Cricetulus griseus: one gene and its partners. The protein of the gene in region 7 interacts with the protein of the main gene of each other region in a pairwise test. Links are inferred from orthologs where the notes say so. Each region holds a gene or a part of one and is shown on either strand. Other genes may lie near its edges. The genes, in order: Nod2, Smarcb1, Fabp4, Crmp1, Mrpl44, Txlnb and Vim.

Evidence for each region.
Region 1: the proteins of Vim (region 7) and Nod2 interact in binary tests that used the Homo sapiens proteins (3 or more experiments, as listed by UniProt). The link is inferred for Cricetulus griseus from reciprocal best matches to the Homo sapiens genes VIM and NOD2.
Region 2: the proteins of Vim (region 7) and Smarcb1 interact in binary tests that used the Homo sapiens proteins (3 or more experiments, as listed by UniProt). The link is inferred for Cricetulus griseus from reciprocal best matches to the Homo sapiens genes VIM and SMARCB1.
Region 3: the proteins of Vim (region 7) and Fabp4 interact in a two-hybrid assay, tested with the Homo sapiens proteins (2 studies listed by BioGRID and IntAct). The link is inferred for Cricetulus griseus from reciprocal best matches to the Homo sapiens genes VIM and FABP4.
Region 4: the proteins of Vim (region 7) and Crmp1 interact in binary tests that used the Homo sapiens proteins (3 or more experiments, as listed by UniProt). The link is inferred for Cricetulus griseus from reciprocal best matches to the Homo sapiens genes VIM and CRMP1.
Region 5: the proteins of Vim (region 7) and Mrpl44 interact in a two-hybrid assay, tested with the Homo sapiens proteins (2 studies listed by BioGRID and IntAct). The link is inferred for Cricetulus griseus from reciprocal best matches to the Homo sapiens genes VIM and MRPL44.
Region 6: the proteins of Vim (region 7) and Txlnb interact in binary tests that used the Homo sapiens proteins (3 or more experiments, as listed by UniProt). The two-hybrid records come from large-scale screens. The link is inferred for Cricetulus griseus from reciprocal best matches to the Homo sapiens genes VIM and TXLNB.

What each region holds. Positions count from the first base shown.
Region 1 is NC_048596.1:164,271,074-164,275,191, forward strand, and holds the start of Nod2 (nucleotide-binding oligomerization domain-containing protein 2), read left to right. Parts: upstream 1-1,318; 5' UTR 1,319-1,390; coding exon 1,391-1,448; intron 1,449-3,651; exon of another isoform or gene 3,652-4,118. UniProt on the Homo sapiens protein: Pattern recognition receptor (PRR) that detects bacterial peptidoglycan fragments and other danger signals and plays an important role in gastrointestinal immunity.
Region 2 is NW_023276806.1:262,704,482-262,707,981, forward strand, and holds part of Smarcb1 (SWI/SNF-related matrix-associated actin-dependent regulator of chromatin subfamily B member 1), read left to right. Parts: intron 1-702; coding exon 703-841; intron 842-2,474; coding exon 2,475-2,604; intron 2,605-3,500.
Region 3 is NC_048595.1:137,722,241-137,726,266, forward strand, and holds the start of Fabp4 (fatty acid-binding protein, adipocyte), read left to right. Parts: upstream 1-1,226; 5' UTR 1,227-1,339; coding exon 1,340-1,412; intron 1,413-3,783; coding exon 3,784-3,956; intron 3,957-4,026.
Region 4 is NW_023276807.1:106,236,692-106,240,191, forward strand, and holds part of Crmp1 (dihydropyrimidinase-related protein 1), read left to right. Parts: intron 1-1,380; coding exon 1,381-1,442; intron 1,443-2,695; coding exon 2,696-2,776; intron 2,777-3,500.
Region 5 is NC_048595.1:432,481,998-432,485,943, reverse strand, and holds the start of Mrpl44 (39S ribosomal protein L44, mitochondrial), read right to left. Parts: upstream 2,801-3,946; 5' UTR 2,754-2,800; coding exon 2,575-2,753; coding exon of another isoform or gene 2,537-2,574; intron 1,231-2,536; coding exon 762-1,230; intron 1-761. UniProt on the Homo sapiens protein: Component of the 39S subunit of mitochondrial ribosome. May have a function in the assembly/stability of nascent mitochondrial polypeptides exiting the ribosome.
Region 6 is NC_048595.1:271,868,300-271,871,799, reverse strand, and holds part of Txlnb (beta-taxilin), read left to right. Parts: intron 1-2,554; coding exon 2,555-2,725; intron 2,726-3,500. UniProt on the Homo sapiens protein: Promotes motor nerve regeneration. May be involved in intracellular vesicle traffic.
Region 7 is NC_048596.1:218,981,783-218,985,882, reverse strand, and holds the start of Vim (vimentin), read left to right. Parts: upstream 1-1,300; 5' UTR 1,301-1,447; coding exon 1,448-2,010; intron 2,011-2,541; coding exon 2,542-2,602; intron 2,603-4,100. UniProt on the Homo sapiens protein: Vimentins are class-III intermediate filaments found in various non-epithelial cells, especially mesenchymal cells. Vimentin is attached to the nucleus, endoplasmic reticulum, and mitochondria, either laterally or terminally.

The DNA of each region.
Region 1 (4,118 bases), about 55 Mb from region 7:
AGAGCTGGCTGCTCTTCCAGATGACCTGGCTCAAATCCCAGCACCCACATGGCAGCTCACAACTGACTGTAACGCCAGTTCCAGGGGATATGACACCTTCACACTGATGCACAATAAATAAAATTTAAATAAATCATTAAAAATAACATTAAGAATAGGAAGTTATAAAATCAAATGAATGCAATAGAAACAAAACAACACTATTGAATTCTGATTAGGATGATGGTAGAGCCCAGCACTGTGTGGGAGGCAAGTGCTAATATGCTGTGACCTCCTCTCCTCAGCTTGCATGGGACTGACGGCCAAGGGGAAGAGAGTAACTTTAAAGTCCTAGTAAGTCTCCACCCAGCACAGCCATCTGGGAATGCAACCATCAAGACTAAAGGGCTTACAGATCCCTGGGAGGGTGCATCGGTTCCTGCTGACAGGGAGGGCTTTCCTGTCTCTTGTTCTCGGGACTCTATGGTTCCCTCCTAATTGGAAGGTGGCCCAGAAAGCCGGCCACACAAGGGCAGGATACACTGCACCGCAGGCAGGCTTCTTCCAAGATACCTGTCTTACCACCTGTCCCCAGAGGGAAATCAGGAGGGGTGTGGCCGCCCTTCCGAATCCGCCACAGTGGGCGGGGTCACTGGCTAAGTAGGTGGAACGACGGGCGGGGCAAGATCACGGAGGGAGTCACCACCAGGCGGGCGGAGGAACCCCGCGCTGCAGCTGGCGGTGAGTGCTTGCCTGCTGCTTCTGTGGTCTGCGGGTGCTCGGGGTGGTGGGTGGGTGGGTGAAAAGAGGTTTTCTGGGGGCAGACTTAGTGCTCCGGGGGGGGGGAGGGGTCGGGCTCGGTGTGGTGGAGAACACGAGCGCCTAATGTCCCATCCCTATGATGGTGTTAACTGGCTCTGCGCTTCCTTCCAGAAGGAACTGTTTCCCTGTGGAATCATCAGCAGAATAGATAGGCTGTAGAAGGAAAGGGGCTTCTCGAGAGGGGACCCGTGTCAGACTGTGGTCACTGAAGATGAAGAGGTTTAGGGCACGGGAAGCCCATTGAGGCCCCAGGATCCTTTGAAGTCTAAGGGGAGGCTGAGGTTTGGGGGTGGCTGGGACAGTGGAGGTGAAAACTTGCAGGTGAGGTCCTTACCCAGAAGGAGGAAATCCTGCTTTGGGTCGCAGGAGGAGCCATTCCTGGCACAGTTGTCCCCTCTCCGTGGGCCTCAGTTTCTCTGTCTTTGGTCTTCAGAGACCCCAGCTGCTGCTCCCTGATCCTTGCAGGTGTCTCCTGCCTGTCCTTACTCATTTGTAAGTGTGGGAGCTGGGGCCAAAAGCTGTTTCTGCCTGGAGAGACCCACGGCCACCTGCCCAGTGCCAGCTCAGCTTTCAAGCTTGATCCTCTCTTATGCTTCTCAAGTCATTGGTGCCTCTATGTCTGGACAAGCTAGCTCCCAAGCCTCTGGGTAGGTCTGTAGCTGGTTGAAACTCTCATGGCTGTTTTTTTTTTTTTTTTTTTTTTTTTTTTTTTGTTGTTGTTCTTTTTTTTCAGATCCTGCAGGGTCCTGGCCTGGGGCAGGCTGTTGGCTTTCCTGCCCTAGGGGGAGTATGATCTCCCCCTAGGGCCAGGGTTCTGCAGGGTCAGAAAAGCTGGCTCCATCAGCCACCTCTGCCCAATTGGGGAAAAGACCAAGTGACAGCTCTGTTGCTTCTCTTCCAGTCAGTCTGTTGTGAGGCTATTGGAGGCCCTGGTTTCTTGGCCATTTGATGCCAGGTGGTCTCCACATGCAGCTCCAAGCTGGCACTGGCCCACACTTTGCCCCTCTCTCTCACCCAGGTCAGCACTCACTGTGGCCCAGTGAGCAGGCACTTCCTACTAGCCCATTGGCTAAAGTCTGTGCCTTGTAATGGCTACTCTCTGGTTCCACAGCTACCTCCCCAAGCTGTGTGGAATAAAGACATTCTCATTCATTCAGACCAGTCTATTCACAGGGTGAGGCACAGGGTCCAGAGAGGAGCTCCAGCAGTGTATCATGATAATGCTTGCCATGGCAGATGATGAAAAGGACTGTGGGGAGAAAATGCTGGGACAGGGCTTGGGGACCACAGTTCTACATAGCATAGGAAGGCCCCTCTGAGACAGTGGCCACTGAACAAAATCTTAAGGAGGTGATGGGCAAGTCATGTGACTATCTGTGGGACAGAGAGTGCCCTGTGAGCATAAAGCTTAGGCAAAGGCAGGAGCACCACAGACCAGAGCAGGCTCCCTTGTTCTGAGAGTGAGGAAGCAGGTGAGGGGCTACAGCAGGGTGGGAGTCAATGGAGGCTAGGAGGAAAGGGGTGGAAGTTGAGGTCTCTTGTATTGAGCTTGAGGTTGCTATAAAGGCTTTTGGCTTTCGCTTTGACTATGATGAGATCCACTAGTGGGCTGGGCTGTGAACAGATAAGGTCTCTGCTCTGACTTAAGATCTGGCAGGTTCATCTAGTTGTGTGACTAACATTGACCTATAGGGGGTCATGGCAGATGAAGGAACCATGAGAAGGCTTCAGGGCTTATGTTGTGGTATAGAGAGAGGTGGAGAGAGAAACTGTGGCTTTCAGATTTGGGGTCTGTTGAAGGCTGGGTGGATGGTCTGTGATGCCCGAGAGCGGCAGAGTCAAGGATGACTCTGGCAGTTTGGGGCCACTTTCAGTTGAGAAAGGAGCTAGCTGTTAGGAGGAAGGTCCAGTGATTGAGTTGTTTGGAGATGCTGGTAGGTACCACATGATGTTGAATGTTGTCCAGAACTGTCAGTGACATTTCAGGCATCACTGCCACATAGTTGGGAATTTAAGCCTGTGGGGAGGTGGGCTTATGTGGGGAGAGAGTGGCTCAGAGAAGTGGCAGTGATTCAGTTCGGCGGCAGTACAGAGGTGTGTTATCAGCCTTGGAGGCAGAATGGCTAGAAAGAGTAGCTAGCATGTGGGAAGGAAGGTCAGAGAAATCCTTCATGGCCTCAAGAGACGTGCTCCAGGGAGGAGAGTGAACAGGTAGAACAAAAGTCCTTGTCAGAAAGGAAGACCAGGAACAGAAGGCCAAATACTGGAAGTCATGGTTTGCATTTTCACTTGTAATGGTTGTGGGGTGGGGGGGAAGGATGAAGGGAGGACTGGGAAGTTCAGGCCTAGACAAGGGAGGGCAGAAATGAAGGATGAATTAGTTTGTTTGTTCTATGATGGGAACTGATGTCCTGGGGAGCAACTCAGTGGAGATGGAGAGTGGGGTTAGTGCCCCAGGGAAAGCTTGGCCAGCCAGGACCAGGACACTCTTCTGGGGACCTCCCTTCCTCTCCCATCTGCTGGAGGCCTGGGACACTGCAAGGATTGTTCAGCTCTCAAACAAATCCTCAGCTGGGAACTTCAAGGAAAACCAGGCTGCCTATGATCCTGGGAAGGAAGGAGGTGCTGGGGCACAGGCGTGTGCATGAGCACGTGTGTGTGTGTGTGTGTGTGTGTGTGTGTGTGTGTGTGTGTGTTTGGGGGCTTGGGGATGAGAGGGGCTTTTTTTCATTTTTATTTTTACTTTTAATTTTTTTTGGTTTTTTGAGACAGGGTTTCTCTGCGGCTTTGGAGGCTGTCCTGGAACTAGCTCTTGTAGGCTCACTTCAAACTCACAGAGATCTGCTTGCCTCTGCCTCCTGAGTGCTGGGATTAAAGGCATGTGCCACCACCACCTGGCTGAGAGGGGCCTCTGTAGATACCCTTGACCCTCTGTTTCAGCAAGCTGGTGCCCCCTTTGTTTGGGTTCCGTCTTGCAGAGCCTAAGAGTGACTCCAAGGTGGCCCTAGCTGGATAGAGAAGAAAAGGCAGGGAAGCAGAACAGCCTGTTTAACCTGGAGAGGACGAGTCTGACTGAGTAGGAAGGTGCAGGAACAGGATACTAGACCAGCTTTTATGAAACAGGTGACAAGAGCATCTATCGTTTTGCTTTTTCTTCCAAATTTAGCCGAACAAGATAAACTAATGAAGGACTCCTCAGCTGGTCAGGACGATAGTATCAACCCCAGGTCTTCTTTTCCAGCTGCTTAAGATGAGATAGAAAGATGGCCTACTCAGAGGCAGGGGACTGGCAGAATAGGTCTGTGGGGCTATGCCTT
Region 2 (3,500 bases), on a different chromosome or scaffold from region 7:
CACCGTGTCCCCTGGTTGTCCCCACTGTGTGACACTGCAGACATCATTTCTGAAGTCAGTGAGGCCATGGATCTTTATAAAAATCATAGGACTAGCTTTTCATGAAGGGTGTCCTTAAGTGTTGCTACAAGCAAACTAAGCTATTACTCGGGGGAAGTAGTGATTTCTAAGATAGTCCAGGGATTACTAATATAGGGCTTTTTAGACTTGAGAAAATTCTTTTGGTGTCTCTGGTTTGAGTTTTGTTACTAAATAAAGCAACACAGGCAGCGGGACAAATTATCTTGCATCTGTCTAAAATTAAAGACATTTTGGTGTTTATTGCCTTGTAAAAATATCAAAGTCTGCTTCTTAAGATGAAAGGAGGTCACAGGAGTCTCAGATTTCAGAAAAGTGCCAAGAAATCTTTCGTCCTGATCGACATCACAAGCTCCTTACTGAGGTCTGGGATCCTCCCCAATAGACATCTGGTCAGATCTTTTGGAACTTGGTTCTGATGTCAGGATACACAGATTCCAGCCAGATGTGCACTGCTGTTGAACCCTTGATGTCAGCAAAATGTGTTTTATGGCTGCTGACAGGCTGGCGTCTGGAGGCCTTGTATCTCATGTACTTGATCCAGCAAATCCTCTCTGCCAGAGCCCTTCGGCATAGTGATCGATGGTCTGACCCTCATAATGAGCCTTCTTGCTTTACTCATAGGTGGGAAACTACCTCCGTATGTTCCGAGGTTCTCTGTACAAGAGATATCCCTCACTCTGGAGGCGACTAGCCACTGTGGAAGAGAGGAAGAAAATAGTTGCATCGTCACATGGTAAAAAAACAAAACCTAACACTAAGGGTGCGTCTTCACGAGGGTTTGTAAACCTGTTTCAAAACCACTCGCTTATGTCATGAAGATAAAACGTTTTCACTCCAGTGTCTTCATTGCAGCCTGACCTTAGTTCGGTAGGGAGCATCCCAGGGGCAGGCCACCCTGCCAGCGCACACATGGTTCAGTTGAGAGTAGCTCAGCGAGTCTTTGGTGCTCCACTGTTGTGTGTTCCTGGCTGGGCCAGTGGGTATGTGAGGGGCCAGGGCCAGGGCCAGGGTAGTAGCAGGTGCTGTGAAGACATGTTGGTCTCAAAACGTTTTAGGAATGCTGTGATTTGCTACCATTTGCTGTGAGTGTGTTGCCGTAGTCGTCCTTCTTGCAGCCCTAGTAGCAGACGGTGGCCCCAGCCCTCACTTTCTTCTGGGGCTTTCACCGCTTCCCTCCCAGAGCACATTTATCTCATAATACTTCATCTTGGCAACCAGTATGCTAAGCTCATGTGCATGTACCCATTCCACGTGGCCTGCCCTGTGCCTGGGGCTTGCTAGGTGAGCCACCTGGTGCTAGTGAAACTAGTGCAAGGTCTGGGCTGTGGCAACTCTGTGCAGAGTGAAGATGCTCTTCATACATTTTGGGGCCTCTAGGAAGAACATTTGGGTATGGGCGCAACATGCCATTTGGCCGGTGGCAAAACTGCTTTCCACTCAGCAGAGGCACCCTGTAGAGAGCTGCCCTGGGCCTGGGTGCATGTGTCCGTGCATGCATGCGTGCTCATGAGCACTCTGTAGTCTGTCTTGTCAGTAGGTGCTAATGTGCTAATGTAGTTGTCTGTTGTGGTGTATTGGGGTTCTTTTAATGCAGGAGCCAGAGCTGCTTTTTATCCACTTCTGAAAGAATCCACTATTGCCTGAAACAGTTTCCTTTGTGTCCCCTCTGCCAAAAGTGGAATATAGTCACTAGCATGGTGGCTACCTAGCTTTGCCTGCCCTTCCTTGAGTTCCCATGAAGCCTTAGTGGTCTTGCTACCATGTGCCTTCCTTTCCTATAACCAAGTGAGTCCTCCAGCAAAGCTAAGCAGGTCCTGCAGATAAGTAGCAGCGCTTGACAGAGGTTCCCTAGAACTGGGCGGGGAGGGGGGGGGAGGCATATCACGTGGTGTGAAGTTCTGTCTTGTTTTCCAGACAACCACATCTGGCCTGACTCAGGGATGGTAACTTTTGCTTGGTGTGAAATAGTTCTTTCCAACTCTCTGGGCTCTTGTTTTAAAAGAAGAGGATTCATCTTTCATTCTGTCTCCCATCTTGCTTTGTGTTTTAGATTGTGGTGGTGTCAGACCTCTTCCCACTGGGGTGTTACTCTGAAGCCTTCCTGGCAGCCCCTAAGCTGCAGCTACCCCCAAACATGTCTGCCCCAGAGCTAGTGCTCTTAAGAGGCAAATTCGTCCAAATCCATCCCACCAGAGGCTTTCTCCACTGAGATGTCTAGGTAAAGCCTCAGTCCGGATTGCCCTTTTGGAAGAGGCTAGCACTCAGCAGTACTGAGTTTGACACCTTGCTTTCCCCACCTCCTGCATGTGAGGACCTCGTGTGCTGTATCAAGTTGGTTGTCAGCTTGTTCACACTGCTGCAGGATGACCACAGTGGGGTTTCTCTGCTTACAGATCATGGGTACACCACCCTCGCCACCAGCGTGACGCTACTGAAAGCCTCGGAGGTAGAAGAGATTCTGGATGGCAACGATGAGAAATACAAGGCTGTGTCCATCAGCACAGAGCCCCCCACCTACCTCAGGTATGCCTTCCTAATCTCAGTTTGCTCCAGAGACATGTGGGGGTATGTGTGTGTGGGGGTCTCATCCTGAAGAACAGGGTAAAGTGAAAGTTGCTCACTCACTATGTTTATAATTGCCTGACCTTGGTTTCTAAGTTTCTTCTGTATCTTTGACATTCTTAACAAACATAGGCCAAGTCTTGAGTTCTGGAATGTTCTGAATCTGGGACTCATTTGCCCCCCCCCAAAAAAAATTGTGACTCAGATAAACTTCCAAAAGAAACAATAGATTTGAATACACACAGGTAGAACTTTGAAAAAACCTTTTCCTTCTTTCTTTTTTGAGACAGTTCTCATGTGGCCCAGGCTGGTCTTAAAATTTGCGGTGTAGCTAAGTATGGTGTTAAAGTTAGAATCCTCCTGCCTCTACCTCCTCGATGCTTTGATTACAAGTGTGTGCCATCATGCCTAATTATAATAGTGCTGGGGATGGTACCCAGGACTTTGTGCACACGAGCAGCGCTCTACCAACTGAACCATCTCCTCCTCAGGTCCAAACAGGTGTTTTTGGTTTTCTTTTCTTTTTTTTTTTTTTTTTTTTTTGATCAGGGTTTTTCTGTGGCCCTGGCTGTCCTAGAACTCACTCTGTAGAGCAGGCTGGCCTTGAACTCACTGGTGCTAGGATTGAAGGTGTGCATCATCACCACCCAGTCAAGACAGGGTTTCTCTATGTAGCCCTGGCTGTCCTGGAGCTCACTCTGTAGACCTTCCTGGCCTCGAGCTCAGATGTCTGCCTGCCTCTGCCGCTGGAGTTGTCTTTTAAAAATAACTTTTAAAAGTTGTATTATTGTAGGCTGGAGAGATTGCACGTGTGTGACATGCCATGCGTGTGGAGGTCAGGGGACAGCTTTGTAGAA
Region 3 (4,026 bases), on a different chromosome or scaffold from region 7:
ATGCAATTAAAACTTGGCACTGTAAGCTAACTTTATCAAACTTTTATAGTAGCTTATTTTCCTACAGAAAATCCCTTGTTTGCAGTATCCCTTTCCCTGGACATGTTTTTGGGATACTGACATGGGCTTGGGAGTCTATCGGATGCCCAGCAGGTACGTCTCAGTGAGGCACAGTGTAGCAATCCATCTCTGTCCCATACCTTGAAATGTAGGTATGCTCACAGGTGTTGTGGTCCAAGTGAACTTCTTCCATCATTCGGGTATGAGGCAGGGAGATTGAGAACCAAGATTATTTTATAACATTATCTCAGGTTAGTCACCATGTCAAAGAAAAAACAGGTTTGCTAACTTGTGACCACATTACATCTGATAATTTATGTAAGGCCACACTCTTTAGATCTGTATAAATTTAAAACTTACAATATATTTCAGAAATGGGATGAGGAGCATATTTTGAATTGGGCCCCATCTTTAAGGGGTCTGTAAAAATCAATACTATATAATTATTTAGGAAGTGAGAAGAATGAGGCTTAATTTTAATTTAATTAAATCTGTGGTCTGGATTCCTGAACAATGATATGAATAAATTTTTAATACATACTAAGTATTTGAAATTACAAATCTAGGCCACTTTGGCCAGGATGTGGTAGACACGCCTTTAATCCCAGCACTCCAGAATCAGGGGCAGGAGGCTCTCTGTGAGTTCAAGAACAGCCTGGACAGTGAGTTTCAGGACTACCAGAGCTGTTTGGAGAGACACTGTGTCAAAAAAAGAAAAAAAAATCTAGGCCAGTTTCAAGTGTCATTGTTTATTTTGTTATAATTCCTGAAACAGTGCAGTCTTAACAAAAGAGCCATTAGGACTAACAATCTCTAAGGTAGGCTTTATGTCCTTAATCACAGAACGAGGCACATTATTGCCTTATTAGTAAAATGAAAACTCAACAAGAGGGTGAAAGTGCGTCCCAAGGTAATTGTCTCCTCCACAAATACATATGGAATAATAGGGGGAAGTTCAATGCACTAAGCATTTAGGCAAAACAGGAACGTTTAAAATACTCTGTTCATGGTTAAAAATAAGTTGTACTCTAAGTCCACTGATCATTGCCAGGCAGAACCAAAGTTGAGAAATTTCTATTAAAAACATGACTCAGAGGAAAAAATACAGGGGCTAGCCATGAAGGAAATGATCTGGGGCCAACCTCCATTGGTCCCTCCTACAGTCACATGGCCGGGACATCTTTAAAAAGGAATTATCTGGACTCAAGAGGATCATAGCACCTTCCCCCTCCTGCAGCCTCTTTCTCACCTGGTAGAGAAATCTCAGAAGGTTCACAAGATGTGTGATGCCTTTGTGGGAACCTGGAAACTGGTCTCCAGTGAAAACTTCGATGATTACATGAAAGAAGTGGGTGAGTGCTGTGGGGGGTGAGGGGTTCCCCCGCTGGGGAGAGGGCTGGTAGCCTGCTTCCAGCTTGGGAGCAGTTGCTGAGAGAAAGGCTGTTTTCTGCATGGAGGCTGTAGAAGCCACAAGAAAGAGCCTGTTCTAGAAGCCTCCTGAATGAAAGGTTCAACCTAGTGCTTCCTGCAGGTGAGCCAGCAGGGAAAGGGAAAGGAGTCTAAATAAAAGTCTGTTAGGATCCACAGAATGATAAGTGTTGCCTTCAATGCCACCCTTGTGTCGTGTGTCGCTGTTCTGCACTTGGCTCTTTGTTTTTAACATCTCCTTTTAAATAAAAATGTTGCAATAACTCAGAAAGAAAAATAGACTTTTTTTTTATTGCACGGAGTACTTTTTCCTTAAAACTGAAGTCATGACACTGCCCATCTTAGAAAAAAAATCATGTTGAAAAATATATTTTAGCATTTTTTTCCCGATATCAACATCACAGTAGACTGCTTGACGTTAGGAAATATTTTTCTTCATGGGGTTGAACATTCATTGGTTTGGAATGATATGGATGTCATAGATTTAGTGAGTAATTCAAAGGGAAAGTTGGCATGTGAAACACATATGGAACATGCCTTTCAGATAGCAGAGGTTCGAAATGATTTAGGTTCTGTCAGCACGGCTCGCATGCTGCTGTGTGAGTGGTCATTAAATAACACTGGCAGCAATGCAGTGGCCATCGACCAGTGATGCACTTTCTCAGGGAGCTTCTTCATTGAACCCCCTCTCTCCATGACCTCCGTAAGGTCAGATCCCATATTACAGAGTATCTTCATTAGGACAGAATCCCCTAAATTTCCAAAGGCTTAACCTTTCCCTGAGTTATACAGTGGGAACTTTTGGTTATCTGTCAATATTGTCTTCCTGTTTGTAGATAAGAATCAGGACTTTCAGCATGACTGACCTTTTAGCATATCTGCTAGGTACAGCTTAGTATGCTAGTTCCCGTGTACTGACCCAGAAACACCAGGGTTTTAGACCACCTTTAGCTACTGACATTTTGAAACAAACATTTTGTACTTGTAATATTCATATCTAAGTTATAGTGACACTTTAAATTGTGAAAGACTCGTAATTAAAGGCAGTAAGTATTTCCTGAATGGAACTGGCAGTTATAACTGAGGCACAGTGGGCAGGTATTGCCTTCTGTGGTCAAATAAAGTCAGAAAGAAACAAGTGAAGCTTAGTTTTTCCTAGTCTCAGTCCCTCTGGAATAGTCTTCCACATTTCACCCCTCCCTCATATTGATTGACTGAACTGAATGATGTGTTATGCAGCAGAGTGAGGGTTCAAGGCAGAACTACATCATTTTCTCACTGGGGCTACTTTTTAGACAAAGAGCCAAGTTGCCGGCTCTGCATCACTTATTTGTGCTGTGTTTCTCAGGACAGCCTTAATTCTAACCTGTGGTCACTTCTAGTCAAAGAAAAAAAACTTTGTTTAAGCATTTGTGTTGGAAAAGTTAGCACATCGGTGACTACAAATTCTGTGTAACATACACAGAGAACGCAAGTGATTACTGTTCATCTAAGGATTTAAGTTGCTCACCCTCTACAGGAGAGCATTTCCCTCATTTAAACAAAGAAGACCTCACAACTTGAGTGACTGAGATGCAAAGTGTTAGTTTCCAAATTATTTTAAACAATGGAATTATGATTTATTGAGTTCAAAAGATATTTACTGATTCTCCCTTTAATTTTCCTTGCACAATATTGGGAATGGTATTGGCATTCTAAAATGGCATGGCATGCAGGAAGCATTTTTCCTTTTAGAGAAATTAATCAGAGATCTTCATTTCATGAGGGAGTAATATGGGAAAGAAACCTAGAAAATTACACTTGGCAACAAATGCTGTGATATGTGGTTTCTGTATACTCAAAATAGATGAACCTTTAACCCACTAACTCTACTTCAGGCCTGGTCTCTGACTTTAGATTTCTTTTTTAAATACAACTTTTAATATTTAAGAAAGAATGAAATGGTCAAATGGTCTCAATCAGAGATCTGAAATAGAGACAGTATATAGACACATGCATTATTGCCATATTCTTATAGGTATATTATAGATATGCTGACATATATCTAAAAACATACACATGGAGGTATGAAGATTTAATCTCTATAGATTATGTTGAAATCAATGAGTCTCCTAAAGTAGAGAGGGGACAACCTAAGAGTGAATCTGGATAGGTTGCTCCTGAGTGTATCCTCGAGGATTAGGGCCAATATGCTTAGCTGCTTAGCTTGTTTCAAAGGAGCGTCAAGTAATCTAGCATCTTTTTCTTCATGGACAAAAAATGTAAGTTTGCCATGTTTTCCCTTCTTAACTCCAGGAGTGGGCTTTGCCACCAGAAAGGTGGCCGGCATGGCCAAACCCAACATGATCATCAGTGTGAACGGAGATGTGATCACCATCCGATCAGAGAGCACATTCAAAAACACTGAGATTTCCTTCAAACTGGACCAGGAATTTGAGGAAATCACCGCAGATGACAGGAAAGTGAAGGTGAGGAATAAGGATTTGGGGGCAAGGAGAGGGCCTGGCTTCTAATTCGACAACCTACAAGACATGATTT
Region 4 (3,500 bases), on a different chromosome or scaffold from region 7:
TTCACCCCCTCAGGAAACAGTGAGAGGTGAAAGGGTAGGGCATTGGGTGTATCTTCCCTGAATGGATGGATGTTAGAACCCTCAGGATCCAGTTGTGATCCCAAAGTCCACCAGCTGGCAGCCTGGCCCCACGATGTGAGCACATATATGGGAAACACATCACATTCAAACCATGGCAGAGAGTCAGTGTCTGAGTTTCCAGTTCACCAGATGAACCTGGATGTTGATGGTGACAGTGATATGGCTTCTGTGTTTGTGAGTATATTGAGGTTTCATATTTTCAGAAGGCCCATCTTTGTAAGGAATACAGTGTCTTAATCACTGTATTTGTGCTTCCCTCATACACATTCTAATTGTGATATTTTTACTTGTGTATACTTGATTAGTCATTGATATTTTTATACCACTCTTAGAGAACAATTTTCATTTTTAATTTTTCCCCGTTATTTTAAGAGAAGGAATTTTTATGACAGCTGTTTTTCACACAGCAGAAGTCTCTGGCTTGTTGTCTCTGTTGCTGAGTGCAAAAGAAGTCTCATCCCCTTTAATATTTTGCCTCAGACTCTTTTTTTCTCCTCCAAATATTTTCATAGTCTATCTACAAACTTGAGTCACACATCGCAGGTTCCAGGGGAGCAAGGCAAAGTGACCCATGAGGCATGTCCTCTGTCCTCAAGCAGCTTGAAGAGGAATGAGAGACAAGCTCTCTCCTGTCTGTCCTGTGCTCCCCCAAACTGCTCCTCAAGATCAAGTCCTGCCCTTTTCTTCTTTTTAAATCCATGCCTCACCTATGCTCTGCCTAGAGTCTTCAACCTCCTCTTTGCAGGATTCCCCAAGCTTCCCCATGCTTCCCCTTGCTTTCCACATGTCCTCTTTGTTCCCAGGACTGTCTCTCCATCACAGAATGTGCTCCATGGCACCCCTAGCGGGGGAAGACTTAGACACTAGACTTAGCAGTTGATTGCACATCCTGTGTGCCATGCACCTTAATGAAGCTTGAGCTGGTTATGGCACTGAACTTCACCTTGTACTACAATTTAAAAAAAAATGTTAGGAAGCTCATGTTCCCTTTGTTTCAGCTGGAGGAGGGCACTTTCTAGAATGGAGGTTATCCCTACCATGGTCATCCCTCCCCTCTTGCACAGTTCCCAGTCCCCTCTTTCTCTATCCACTAACTCCTTCATTTACCTTTAGATCCAGCTCAGGTTTGATCTTTCTCAGAAGGCTCTAGGGACTGCCTGCCATCTCCAGGCTGGGTTGGGTGCTCCACTGTGGATCCTGTGGCAACTTCTCTCTTGACAATTTCTACTGTGTACCTGGTCATTGGAAAGACCTTCAACTCTACTCAAACACACTTTTCTCCATCTTATCTTGCAACAGGTGTCAACTCCTTCCAAGTCTACATGGCATATAAGGACCTGTACCAGATGTCTGACAGCCAGGTAGGCCCTGCTGTGAGCTTCTTTTCACCAGTACAGGCAGAACCCAGCTGTGATGAGTGGGGGAGGGGAGCACTTACGGCCTGGGTTCAGGCCTCACTCTCAGCACTAAGTGCAGTGTGACCATTGGCCATCCTGTACCTTTATACCTCCTTAAAAAGAGATGGGAGTGTGGAGCCTGGGATCCTTGGTAGGGTGTCCCTCACATAGCTCTTCCCCAGCATTCTCTGGGCAGTTCATTAACAGCTACTTGGAGCCCACTGTAGACATTTAGGATTTGCCTTCTGGATATGTATGTACTTCCTGCAGACTGGACAGTTTCCTTAGGGCTCAGGGGAGGCTGGGGACCATAGTACACTGGCTCTGCAGAGGTGAGCTGTGGCCTCCTTCAAACAGATGCAAGGCACTGAGGAATGCTGTCTGTTTTTTCATCAGAAGGGTGTCAGATCTCTGGCTCAGGGTGCAAGAAGCTGAAGAAGACACCACTGTGTATTTCCAAGAGTGGGCTTTCTGCTTGCACCTACCCTGTCTCCACCATCATATCCCCTCTACCTCCTAGAGAAAATTGTGGATACCAGTGCCAGCCTGCCATATCTGGTGCTTGCTGGGCAGTTGGGAACATCTTTCCCACCATCTCTGGGCTTGAGGCTTATACTATCTCACAGAGGTTGTCAGAATGTTGAGTGATTTAATACAAGTGAAATTAAAGGACAGTTAGGAATTTCTCATTGGCTATTACTGAAGAATTGGGCTGATGGTGCCCTTTCCATGTCCTGCCCTCCAAAGAAGCACCTTGGAGCAGATAACAACATATTTAGGATCCTCAAGGCCTTTGATGTAGACACCCAAGGTATCTAGAAGCAGGAAGTTGGTTGGGGCTCATGGAAGCAGTAGTATGTACCACATGGGTTATTACATTGATCCACTGAGGCCCCTGGTGTGGATGTCAGCTGTGGGTCTCAGATTGGGCCTATTTCAATCTGCTTCCTGCCTCTGAGACCCCGCCTCCTACACCTGCAAGCATGTATCTCAGGGTCAGCAGTCTTGTACCCAGAAGGAAGACTAAGAGGATGGAGGTGTTGTACTGGCATCATGAGCCTCTCATTAGTTTGGCTCCACCCTGCCTTCTGCCTCTTGATCTGGAAGATGGTGATGCATGGAGTCTGCAGAGGCCACAGGAGTGAGCAGAGGGGCAGCCTTTAAACACATGCATTGCTGCACCTTGATTTCACACCAGCTTCATTTCTCCTCTTTAGCTGTATGAAGCCTTCACCTTCCTTAAGGGCCTGGGAGCTGTGATCTTAGTCCATGCAGAAAATGGGGACTTGATAGCTCAGGTGAGTGGTCCAAGGTTCTCCTTCCTACCATAAAGGGCCTCTGCACAAAGTAGACTGTAAAAGATGTGGTACATCCTTTATTAGTGAGATGACTGGGGAAGGGTGTCATGTCACATGTGAAGATAAGAGACATTCACTTGTGTGCAGTGTGCCCATTGGCAAGGCACTTGGCCTTGATCTGTTTTCTCCTCTGTACTGTGAGGTTCTGAACAAAACTGTTCTGCAAGAAGGGAGGGATGCCATGTGCACCCAGCATCTTTTTTTTAAAATGTGGATTCTGAGGGTTTTACTCATTCTCATGCTTGCACAGTCAGCACTTTACCAACTGAGCCATCTTCCCAAGCTCATTGTATTAGTCAGGGTTCCCCAGAGGAACATAACAGATAGAATTTTATATGTATATACATGTATATACATATATATGTATGTATATTATATATTAAATCATATGAGTGGCTTGGATGCTGTGGTCCAGCTAATCCAACAATGGCTGTCTACCAAGGGAAAGCCCAAGAATCCAGTAGTTGTTAAGTCCACAAACGAGACTTGGTGTCTTAAATGGTCTTGAGTATATGCTGAAATCCCCCAAAAGTAAGCTCTAATGCCAGTGAAGGAATGGAATTGCCAGAGAGAGTGAAGGCAAGCAGGCAAAGAACAAAATCTTCCTACTTCTGTGTTCTTTATATAGGCTGCCACCAGAAGGTGTGGCTCAGACTGAAGGTGG
Region 5 (3,946 bases), on a different chromosome or scaffold from region 7:
TATCAGAGTTAGTTATACCATAGGTTGTTCTTGTTTGTTTGTAGTTTTAACAACAACAACAAAAAATCACAGTTGAATTTAAAAAAACATTTCAATTTCAAATCCTAAGAAAACAATGTCAAGCAATATGACCAATATGACTTCAAAATTCAAAGTAGAAGACAGCATGTGGCTATCTGCCTCCTAAGGACACACCCCCACAGCCGCACCTTCCACCATGGCAGGCTACATTCCTTTTTAGACCCTGAGCTAAAATAAATCTTTCCCCTTAAAGCCAAACAAACAAAAAACAAAACTAGCCGGACGTTGGTGGCACACGCCTTTAATCCCAGCACTCGGGAGGCAGAGGCAGGCAGATCTCTGTGAGTTCGAGGCCAGCCTGGTCTCCAGAGCGAGTGCCAGGATAGGCTCCAAAGCTACACAGAGAAACCCTGTTTCGAAAAACAAACAAATAAACAAACAAACAAAAAAATTAGAAGCTGAAAATGACTTAAATCCTTCAGAACTCACAACCCAGCATTTAATATTTGCACTCCACTCTATCCGCAAAAGAAAAAAAAATTGAAATAACAACAAAATTACCAAAAAAAAAAAAAAAAAAAAAAAAAAGTTTAGGTCTTTGACAGTTTTTCTGGGGAGAAACAGTCTGTTCTATAAAGATATATCAAAGGTATGAACGAAAGACACTTTTCGTTTGTCCTCATCAAGTGTGTGTGTGTGTGTGTGTGTGTGTGTGAACAAGTAGAATTAGCGATACCCACCCTGATGAAAAGCGCAGCCCTTTCAGGTCCGCTGCTCTGTAGCAGGGCTCCAATCACTGCAAAGAAAGTTCGCCGCAATACAGGCAGGGGGACAGGGAATTCTGCACTAAGGGCCAACTGCTCCACAGCCAAGTTTCTAGCCACATGACAGACAACTGCCTCACCAGTAAGAAAGCTAACTAGACTTTCAATGCCTTCGGTGGGCAAATCTGGGAACTCATCTTCAAGAAACTGTGTGAGGCACTTATGTGAAAAAGACAGCCCTTGTTCAGATAGTTCTTGATTGTCCTTAAGATTCAGAAGAACGGCTTCTTTCTCAACCCCAAGTTTCTGACGTTTCGCCTCTTCACTTTTAATATAGCAGCTATTGACGAAAGCAGTTTTGAGAAGGTCCAAGGAAAAGGTTTCTTGTAACCGAGCCCCAAAGGCTTGTATTTCCGCATGGTAATCCCAGTTTGGCTTCTCGGAACTGAGGATGCAGAGACAGAGATGGTAAGGACAGGAGGACACCATGCACAACTGTGCTCTAGCTTTATTAGATAAAGGAAATTATACAAAGGGACAAAACGTAGTCTGCTTCTTTTAACGTCAAGTTCTAACAGTTTAAATACAAAAAAGCAACGCAGACGAATACTGGCGGTCTTTGTTACATTCTACACACATGGTTAGGATTAATTTTCCCTTTGGCTTAACTGCCACATTAAAGTGATTGCTGGCATTACATTAGACCATTGTTCAAGCTTTTCAATTTCTTCTTTCTGCCCTGACAATGAAATTATGCTTTACACCTAAGTATAAACAAATTCTAACTATATAGATTCAGACCAGAAACTAAAAGTATATTATATTTAGTTTATATCCTATTTACTTAAATTTCAGAAATGTCCACTTAAGCTAGTACCAGTATTATAAGCATGTTAAGCTGGGCAGTATGCAGAGGCAGGCGGATCTCTGTGAGTTCAAGACCAGCTTGGTCTGCAAGAGCTAGTTCCAGGGCAGCCTCCAAAGCCACAGAGAAACCCTGTCTCCAAAAACAAACAAACAAACAAACAAAAAATCCATAACCATGGTGAGGCTTGAGGCTGCTATAGTTTAGTGGTGGAGTGTTTGCCGAGCAGACACAAGGGGCTGTGTGTGCTCATACACTTTAAATACACAATTCAAGAATTAGTGTAAACATGATCAGTGTTCTCCTGGAGACCAAGATTAAAGTAGTAACCACAATTTCACATCAGGAGTAAGTTCCCCAAACACTAGAGACAGTTCCCACCTCTTTAGGTGTACTAACAATCTAACGGCGGTCAAGTGCCAGTCAGACTAAGAATGAAGTACATCTACGTGTACTTTTGTCCACAGCGACATCGTAAACAGAAGATGCAAGAAGCAGGCTCATAAGCAAGCATGGTGCACTTCGTAAGAGCGTATGGCTATTTTTCTGTGTCTGGCCAGCCAGCGACGAGATTAACTAGATCAAAAACCTAAACGTTTCCCCTCTCACTCCGGACAGTGGACACGTAGTTCAGTTCTACACAGAAGTGAACTTTTCTGCCCTGGTTTGCAGGACTGTGTGTAGAATGATGCTATCGCCCCTAAAGGCGCCCTAAGAATCTCAGGCCGGAGACTGAGCAGTCGCAAAGCTGGGCCAACCTCAAGCGATCACTCTCTAGCAGGCCCCATTTCTCTATTTGGGGTTACTGGGATTCTGCAGGGGACAGCCCGGCCAGTGTCGCCCTTCTCCTCTGCCCCAGGCCGCGCGCGGCCTCCCCACCACCTGCCTGCAGCTGCAGCCCAGTGTCCTCGGCCGCCCACCTACCGTCGCACGGGTGGCGGCGGGCAGCGCTGCAGCCGCCATCGCTCCAGCTCCTTCTGGAAGCGGAAGGCTGCCCGGAACCCCTTCTTCACTCCCCGAACCGGGGGGACCAGTGTGGGGGCTGCCGGAGCCAAGAGGCAGCGAGGGCCCCGCTGCAGCAGCCGCACCACAGCAGAAGCCATGGCTGGATCAAGGCAACGAAGGGCGGAAGGAAGGCAGCCGGACCGGTGTCGCCAGAACACAGTTCCCCAGGAACTGAGCGGCAAAGGGAGGACTCAGAATTAGGAAACACCCACCACAAGGGCGGGTCGGCGGCGGACTGCGTATTCTGCGCCTGCGCAAGTGCTCCTTCCTGCCCAGGATCTGAGTATGGGTGCAGAAATTGCTGGGAAAAGTTGCATTTCCCTGTCAGTCTCTATTGTGTTTATTTCCCACTGAAGTAAAACAAAAACTTGTTGAACTTTCAGTTTGAAGAACGCAGTTAGATTCTCAAGAGAGAAACACTTGTTTACATTCAGCCTTAGGTTGTAGAACATCAATCCTGCCACCACTGAGCAAATGTTTTCCTAAATTCGAGGTTTCACCTGACCCTTCTCCCAAAATAATCTCACTGCCAAAGGCCTTACGTTCAGAAATGTGTTTGACTTAACCAAAATTAAAGTTTGCATTTTATTTTTTATCCATTTTACATCTTACCGCATTCTCCAGTCTCCATTCTCCCAACCCCTCTCCCACATCTCCCCCTCCGAACCCCAATCACCTCCTCTTCGGTCTTCACCCAGGAAAAGTGCAAGTCTCCTATGAGTATCAATAAAACATGGCATATCAAATTGCCATAAGACTAGGCACCTCCACATGTATTGAGGCTGGGCAAGGCGACCCAGTATGCGTAGGGTCCCAAAAGCTGGTAAAAAGGTAGGTGACAAGCCCAATTCCCTATCTTAGGAGTCTCGTAAGAGGAAAAAGAAACAAAAATGTGACACTTATGCAGAGTGCCTAGGTCACTCTCAAGCCGGCTCCCAGATTGTCTGTTCAGTCTCTGTAGACATCTATGTGCCCAGATGAGTAATTGTGTGAGTCTTCCCGTGGTGCCCTCGACCAGTCTGGTTCCTACGCTCCTTTGTCCTCTTCCTCCGCAGAATTCCTGAACTCTGTCTAATGTTTGGCTGTGGGTCTCTGCATCTGCCTCCATCAGTTACTGGATGACACCTCTGTGATGACAGTTGTGCCAGGTACCAATCTGGTCACAGGAGACAGCCAGTTCAACCTAGGTTTGTATGTTATAACAACTACTTTTTTTTTTTTTAATCATGGGGAAAAGAAGTGTGTGTGTGTGTGTGTGTGTGTGTGTGTGTGTGTGTGTGTGTGTGTGTGT
Region 6 (3,500 bases), on a different chromosome or scaffold from region 7:
AATTACATTTCCTTTTCAGGGAAAAAAATCATGAAAAATTTTAATGATCTGAATGGAGATAAAAGTTCTTTTATCTCCATGTAAGTAATTATTTCCTTGCTCATTAATTAGGATATTAATATAGAAAATGTCTGAAATATAATGGTTAATATGGAGTAAACTGTCAACTCTAATTCTTTAAATCAAACTGTCACTATAGCTCACTCATGCTTACAGAGCCTGAAGCCTGTAATATTATCTGCCATTGTGTTCATCAATAAATAAGGACTTGTTCATTAATAAGTAAGGAAGCTTCATGACTACATTCAGAAATGGCCTTAGAAAAACATTTTCTGGAAATTTCTTCAACTTCTATATACTTAAAAAGAATCATTAATACAATTCTAATTTAGTCATTGGCACTGATTTGCTTTTATTTTTTTTTAACTTAATGAAGAAGAAAGAACAGAAATTTCAGATAAATACCTGTTACAAATTTCCAGAACCGTGCCTACATGAATCATTTAACCTCACAGCCAGATCTGGGCTGAGGGTGACTTGGTTGTAATATGTTCACATTAATTCATTAAACCCCCCCATTCAGACACAAACACCAAAGTCTGAACTATTTGAAAAGAAAAAAATCATCCAAACATTAAAAAATGTAGGAAGTCCAGAGTAGTTCATTTTAAACCTAAGGAAAATAGATCTGGCTAAATTTTTAATGTGCATGATCTTATAACACAGCCAAAGATTAAATATGGCAAAGCAGGAATCATCTGTCTTCCACCTTCTAAAGCACATAAAGTATATATTTGTTTCAGGGAACACAAAGAAAGCTTTGGTCTTGTCTACCAAGGAGCTATAAATGTCTCTTATTGGAGATATTTCTGCATGTCACAATTAGATATGTTACTGTCACACAGTAGATAGAGGGGCCCAGGTTGATGGGCACATAACAGCCCATAATACAGAGGATTCTGCACAATACAAACTTTTGTCTATTCTGTCAACAGTGATGAACTTGCAAAGTTTTGACATATAGCTTAACCCTCAAAACTGAAGTCTAATCTATAATGACACAATACATCAATTTCAAGGAAGAAAAATCTTGCTCTAATCATAGGAAATTAATGTGCATGATTTTATAACACAGCCAAAGATTAAATATCACTATGGTACAAAACAAAAGGACCACATTTATCTTATAAACATAAGTTTGGCATGTAGGATCACTGGCTTTTCAAGAAGGGAATCAAGGCCAATCATTATTCCTAGTAGCATGGTTCTCTTTTTCCAATGTTAATTTTTAAAAAGTAGAAATTGCATATGGGTATAACTTAGAATATCAAATGTGCATATTCTTGGTTTAATCTGAGTAGGATTTTTAATAGTTATTCAACATGGTAGAACTAAAAATAAAGTAAGAATTGAAGGAAGTGTGACAATCTTCAAATAGTTCAGGGGGAAGAAAAAAATTTTAAAACAGGGAAACTAAAATGTGGTCAAGATCCACAAGGGATGTACATCCATTTCCATTAGGGTCTATGAGGCTCCAGGAATACCTGGCATCTAGAAGTACCCAATGGCTTCCCAGGAATTTTCCTTGCTCCTAGCCAATATGGTTACTGATAGAACCAGTCCCTTCCTGGCTTAGGCAACACCCAGGCCCTAAAGAAACCAAGTCCAGTAGAGTGAACAATTCTAGACCAAAGTCTGCTGCTTGCATGTGGCCACATGGATGTTCTATTTCCTTAGGTATCTTGTATCATATCTGGCAAGCCTACACTCATATTTTAGTATCTGAACATGGACAGTATGGGAATAAACTTCACCTGGATCACCAGAAACAAGGGTCATGATGTCTTTACTGTAGTCATAGAGAGGCTGAGGACAAAGTTGGGCAGCAGGGAATGTTATCAATATCTGCCTTTTGCCCACTGTGTTGTGTGTGTTTGGGTGTTATGATTTCGCTTGCTTTCCCATACCCAAAGAGTCCACATCTAAAACCCCAAATTATAAAGAGGATAACTGCACTTTATGTTACCAGGAGGCTGTTTTTTCTCTTTCCTATTTTTAAAACTGTCACCACTGGTTTATTTTCAGATGGAGTTATGAGAGTGAAATGTGAGCCAAGCAAACAAAATTGCTAGCCATGGTCTGAATACAAGATACTGCCATGAACAGACACACAGTTACAAGTGTGTCTTTCTTTTTAGGGTAGCACCAGATGACATCATGAGACAGAAACAAGAAAAATATTTCTAGATATCCAAAAAAAAATCAGAGAAGAGGCTAATAGAAGTAATAGTTATGTGAAAATCATATATACATATTATGTACATACACATTATATATACATATTTATGGAGCATATACATATTATGTTCTACAAATTATACCTACACATTATACAGGAGTGGGACTTGTGAAACTTATGAGCTGTCAGAGAAGCAGATAATGATGAAAAATAGTTTTAAACAACCACACAGAATGTCCTTAGGCTTTGCTTCTTCTCTGTGAGCTGCAAAGACACCCCTGCCGATTTCTTTGCTGCTTGAATCCCCATGTCTAGCTGGATGAGCATCGAGCTGAGCAAAAGAAACTAAAACTCCTACGGAAGCAGCAGGCACAGATCCAGAGAGAGAAGGACCAGCTTCAGAGTGAACACAACCGAGCCATCCTCGCTCGAAGCAAACTTGAGAGTCTGTGTCGGGAGCTGCAGAGGCACAACAAGACACTGAAGGTATGTGGCACGTTGGAATGACACATTTCTTAGCTGTTGCATAGACACAGGCCTCTGTTACCTGGAAAAGCATGAGTTACAACCAGAGGACTTACAGTCAAATACTGGCTCTGCTACTTGCTCATTTGTGATCTTCAAGTTTTTACCTTTGTGAATGGTTCCTCCATCATCTGATTGTGTGGTCAGAAGGGGAAAGCTAAATGATATTCCATTTGCAAGGTGCTTACATATAACAACAGCTGCAGGCCCAGAGTGAAATAAATGCCATGCCTCTTTCTTGCTTGCTAGGTGGAGTTTTTTGTTTGTTTATTTTGATTGGTTGTTTAGATGGTCCTTCATTTACTATCTAATTGTTTTTATTTTTACTTTATACGATTGGGTGTTTTTCCAGCATGTATGTCTGTGCATCACATGTGTCCCTAGTGGCCAAGGAAGCCAGAAGAAGGCATAGGAACTATTGTTATAGACAGTTGAGCTCTGCTGTGTGGGTGCTGGAACTAAACCCAGGTCCTCTGAGAAAGTAGCCAACACTCAACCTCTAAACCATCTCTCCATCCCTTAGATTGCACTTTAAAAATTTGTAAAAATTCAGCATTTATTTTAATTTAATGAATTCTGCATGACAAGGCATAGACACAAAGCTAATTGACATGCAAAAGTGAGACAGAGAGCCAAAAATATCAATAATTGTCTGAGAAAAGAAGCTACTTAGAAAAACACCGGAGAGCTCTTTCAGTCTTAATTACTCAATTTAAAAATAATAGACTGATCACTT
Region 7 (4,100 bases):
TGGGGGAAAGGAGCTGTGACATTGTCCAGACCAGTCACTAGAATCTTGTCCCCTGCATCAGTGCCCTAAAATCAACACAAATCTGTTTCTTCAGTGTATCTCTTAAGTTACGTAATTGCCTTTCATTTGAACTCATTCATCAAATTGGACAATTGGACTTTTTTTCCCAATACCTAATGAATTCTTGTCTGGCTCGGGTTATCTTTTAATGAATTCCACTTTCAGAAAAGGCCGTGATCATTGAGCTTGTTTTTGAAACTACCAGTGTAGTTTCCTCTTTCACCCAGAACTTAGGGTGTGGTTTCATGCAGGAAGAAGAGAAGGGAGGGAAACGCGGGAGGGAACTTTGCAAGAAAAGCCTTTCTGAGTATGTTTGCGGTCTGGGAGGGGTGGGATGTTTTCTGTGTCCCAGAGGCTTTTTCCTAAGGAGAACTCACCACACTGGTGTCTCCATAAAACAATCAAAAGAGTGGCCGTGCTCAGAGTTGGTTAAAAACTTGGGACAATGAGCTTGGAGTTCTCAGAGTCTGGAGTCAATCTCAACTAACGGTTTTCCCTGAACCGCTAGACGATCTCACCCTCAGGGCTGGGTGAGTCATCACCACTGACTCAGCGACCCCACCCTGGTCCCCTGGGCTTTACTCCAGAGGCCTTGGATCCTGGCCCTCTGGAGTTGGATTGAGTCCGTTAGATCCCAGGATACGACCACCCAAAACATGCCCTCTACAAAGTGTCCAAGAGCCCGGCCCTGAACCTGGTATCCTAGGCTAAGTGCTTCTCCGCCCCACACCCCAATCTCAGGCCCTCTTTGTTTCTCTCCCCGCCTTCCGATCTGCAGGACCGCTTTTGCTGGCTCTTCCTGCTCCTCTGTTCACAGGTCTTCCCACCCACCCAGTCCCAGAAGACCGCAGCGCCGAGACCGCGCCCCTCCCACCGGCGCGCCTTGTCCCACGCCCCTTTGGCACAGTGCCAGGGACCACTTCGCTCAACTTTCCGGAGTTCCCCTTCCCCCACACATCCATCCCTCGATCCCTCCCTCCTTTCTTAGAACCCAGGCGTGAGCAGAGAATTTGTGTGATCATCCAGAAAGCCCCTGAAAGTCCTAGCCCTGTCTAAGAAGTAAGGGGACTGTGTCGGATCACCGACGGCCCTGGAAGAAGGCTCCAGGGAGCCCCCCTCCCCTCCTCCCCCTCCCGCCTTCCTCACTTCTCTCTGGGTGCCCATTGGTTGGCGCGCCCCGCGGCTAGGATGACAGTGGGAGGGGACCCTCTTTCCCAACAGTGTTATAAAAGCAGCGCCCTTGGCGGGGTCCGGTCCTCTGCCACTCTTGCTCGGGGACCCCAGAGACAGCAGCGCTCCCACGGTTCGCCTGCACCGTGCCCTCGCTCTCCTATCGGAGCCAGTCCTTGCAGCTGCAGCAGCCTAGCCCACCTTCGCCCTCGAAACCATGTCCACCAGGTCCGTGTCCTCGTCCTCTTACCGCAGGATGTTCGGTGGTCCCGGCACCTCGAGCCGGCCGAGCTCCAATCGGAGCTATGTGACCACGTCCACCCGCACCTACAGCCTGGGCAGCGCGCTGCGCCCCAGCACCAGTCGCAGCCTCTATTCCTCATCCCCTGGTGGCGCCTATGTGACCCGATCCTCTGCGGTGCGCCTGCGGAGCAGCATGCCGGGCGTGCGGCTGCTGCAGGATTCGGTGGACTTCTCGCTGGCGGACGCCATTAACACCGAGTTCAAGAACACCCGCACCAACGAAAAGGTAGAACTGCAGGAGCTGAATGACCGCTTCGCCAACTACATCGACAAGGTGCGCTTTCTGGAGCAGCAGAACAAAATCCTGCTAGCCGAGCTCGAGCAGCTCAAGGGCCAGGGCAAGTCGCGCCTGGGCGACCTCTATGAGGAGGAGATGCGGGAGCTGCGCCGGCAGGTGGATCAGCTCACCAATGACAAGGCACGCGTCGAGGTGGAGCGTGACAATCTGGCAGAGGACATCATGCGGCTGCGAGAGAAGTAAGGCATGATCCACGCGAGTGGTGGGGCTCTGGGAGGGAGAAGAGTCCTGGGCCCTGCTCGAGGGCTGCCACGCCCTTGGGGATGTGGCCGGGGTGGTGGTTGTCTGGAGGATAGCAGAGGAAGCGGCCCCACCCTGAACCTAAACTTTGCAGTGAACATTTCCCTTCTGGCTCCACTCGAGCTTTTCACCTGAACTTTTAAAAAAGTTTTCTAGCCCCTTCTGGTGGCAGGAAGAGAGGATGAGTGTGAAGGATCTGAGACAAAGAGACGGCAGAGGCGGCTGGGATGCTGGGACTGAGGTTCCTTGTGCAGGTCTAGGGAAGGGCAGTGATTGTCTTTTTAGGCTGTGCCCCAACTCCAGCTAACACCTGCTGAGGGCAGGGAGCTCGACAAAGCTGTTGTCGCTGGTGTGGGTGGAGGTGTCACAGCAGCTCTGGCCTCCTGGCTTGGCTGCGATGTGGTTGGGTGTGGCCGCCCCGCCCCTGGTGGTTTCCCAGTTCCACTCTGCTTAATGTACTACTGCTTCAGATTGCAGGAGGAGATGCTCCAGAGAGAGGAAGCCGAGAGCACCCTGCAGTCCTTCAGACAGGTTTGTAGCCAACAGCCCCACCCACCCAAACCACTCGCAGTTCTAAAAGTTACTTCACCCAGGATTTAAAGGTGCAAAACTTCAAGTCTGCCTGTAAAGCCCCTGGTGGCAGAAAGTCCACATATTGAAAAACTCCACTGTTTAGGTCAATCCTTGCAACATGAAGTTTTTCTATGTTTTTTTTTTTTCCCCCGGGGAGGGGACATTCAGATTTTTCTGTTCCCCCAAAATATTTCCCTTTCATTTTTTGAAACGTTGACCTTCTGATTCTGAACGCTTACAGTTTGATTAGAATGCCGTTTGTGAAAGTCAAATCAGCTAACTTTCACAAGGTCACACAAAGCACAGTTGCGTCCTCAAGTTTGAAATGTAGAATACTCTGGAGGATGAGAAAGTTTAACTGGAATTGAGCCAAGTTCCCTTTCTTTCTTCGAAGTTCGGTACTGCATGAAAGTTAGCTGAAGTGTCGTTGCACAACTATTTTTGTAATCTAACAAGGGTGAAAGGAAGCCATCTGTTCCCGCTGCTGAAGGGTATTAAAAGTTTCTATGGGCTTCACTATGGAATGTGGATACCGACATTCTGGCAAATGCGGTGGCTCTGGACAGAAATAATAGGAGCCTTTGTGTTCCCAGAGCAGCTTTGCAACAGGCTACATTCTTATTGAATATGTAATGATGTAACCACAGTTCCAATTGGACACAAGTATTTGCTAACATCCCTTATCTAATGTCTGGCTCAAGCTTGTGAAGTATGTGGTGTACAAAGTTCTTAAAGCTACAGTCCTCCCGGAAAGGGTTCCTCTTATGGAGTTGTAGACTGGTTAGCACCCTCCACAATTAAAGATAAATCCTAGACTGAAGAATGGAGTTTCATACGAAGGAGGGATTTTTGTTTGTTTTTGCTTCAAAGTTAGGTGTTAACAGCATACCAAAGCAGAAAGATGGCCAGTACAGTCTTATCCTTGGGAACATTCATTAGGATCAGCTACAAAACTCTCTAGGGTGACATTATGAAGGTGAGAGATATTTGCATACTCAACAGCAGTACAAGAATATTTGGTTACTTTTTTTTGTCACTGGGGGTATATGGTCATCACCCAAGAAATGTTTTCTGTAAGGCATTGGGTGAATATTCAACATTTCTTATTTATGGACTAAATTAAACTGTTTCATTCCCTTAAATAAAGAAGTCACATTTCACTGAATTTTTTTCAAAAGATTGGTCTGACATCATTTATATCTTTTTTTGTTTTTGTTTTTGTTTAGGACTTAGTGGAAAGCTTATAGATCACTTTATAAACTCTGTAAAGGAGTTTACATATAGTTTCATTGTGTTTTGTTCCACCATCCTGGAATAGTTGATGTCACTGAATTGATACAATGATGGCTGAGAAAGATAGAAATATCCTATAGGATGAGTCAAGGGGCATTTAAAAAAAAATCAGAGAAGGCAAAACCAATACAGTTCAGGATTACATCATATATTTTCCTTTTTG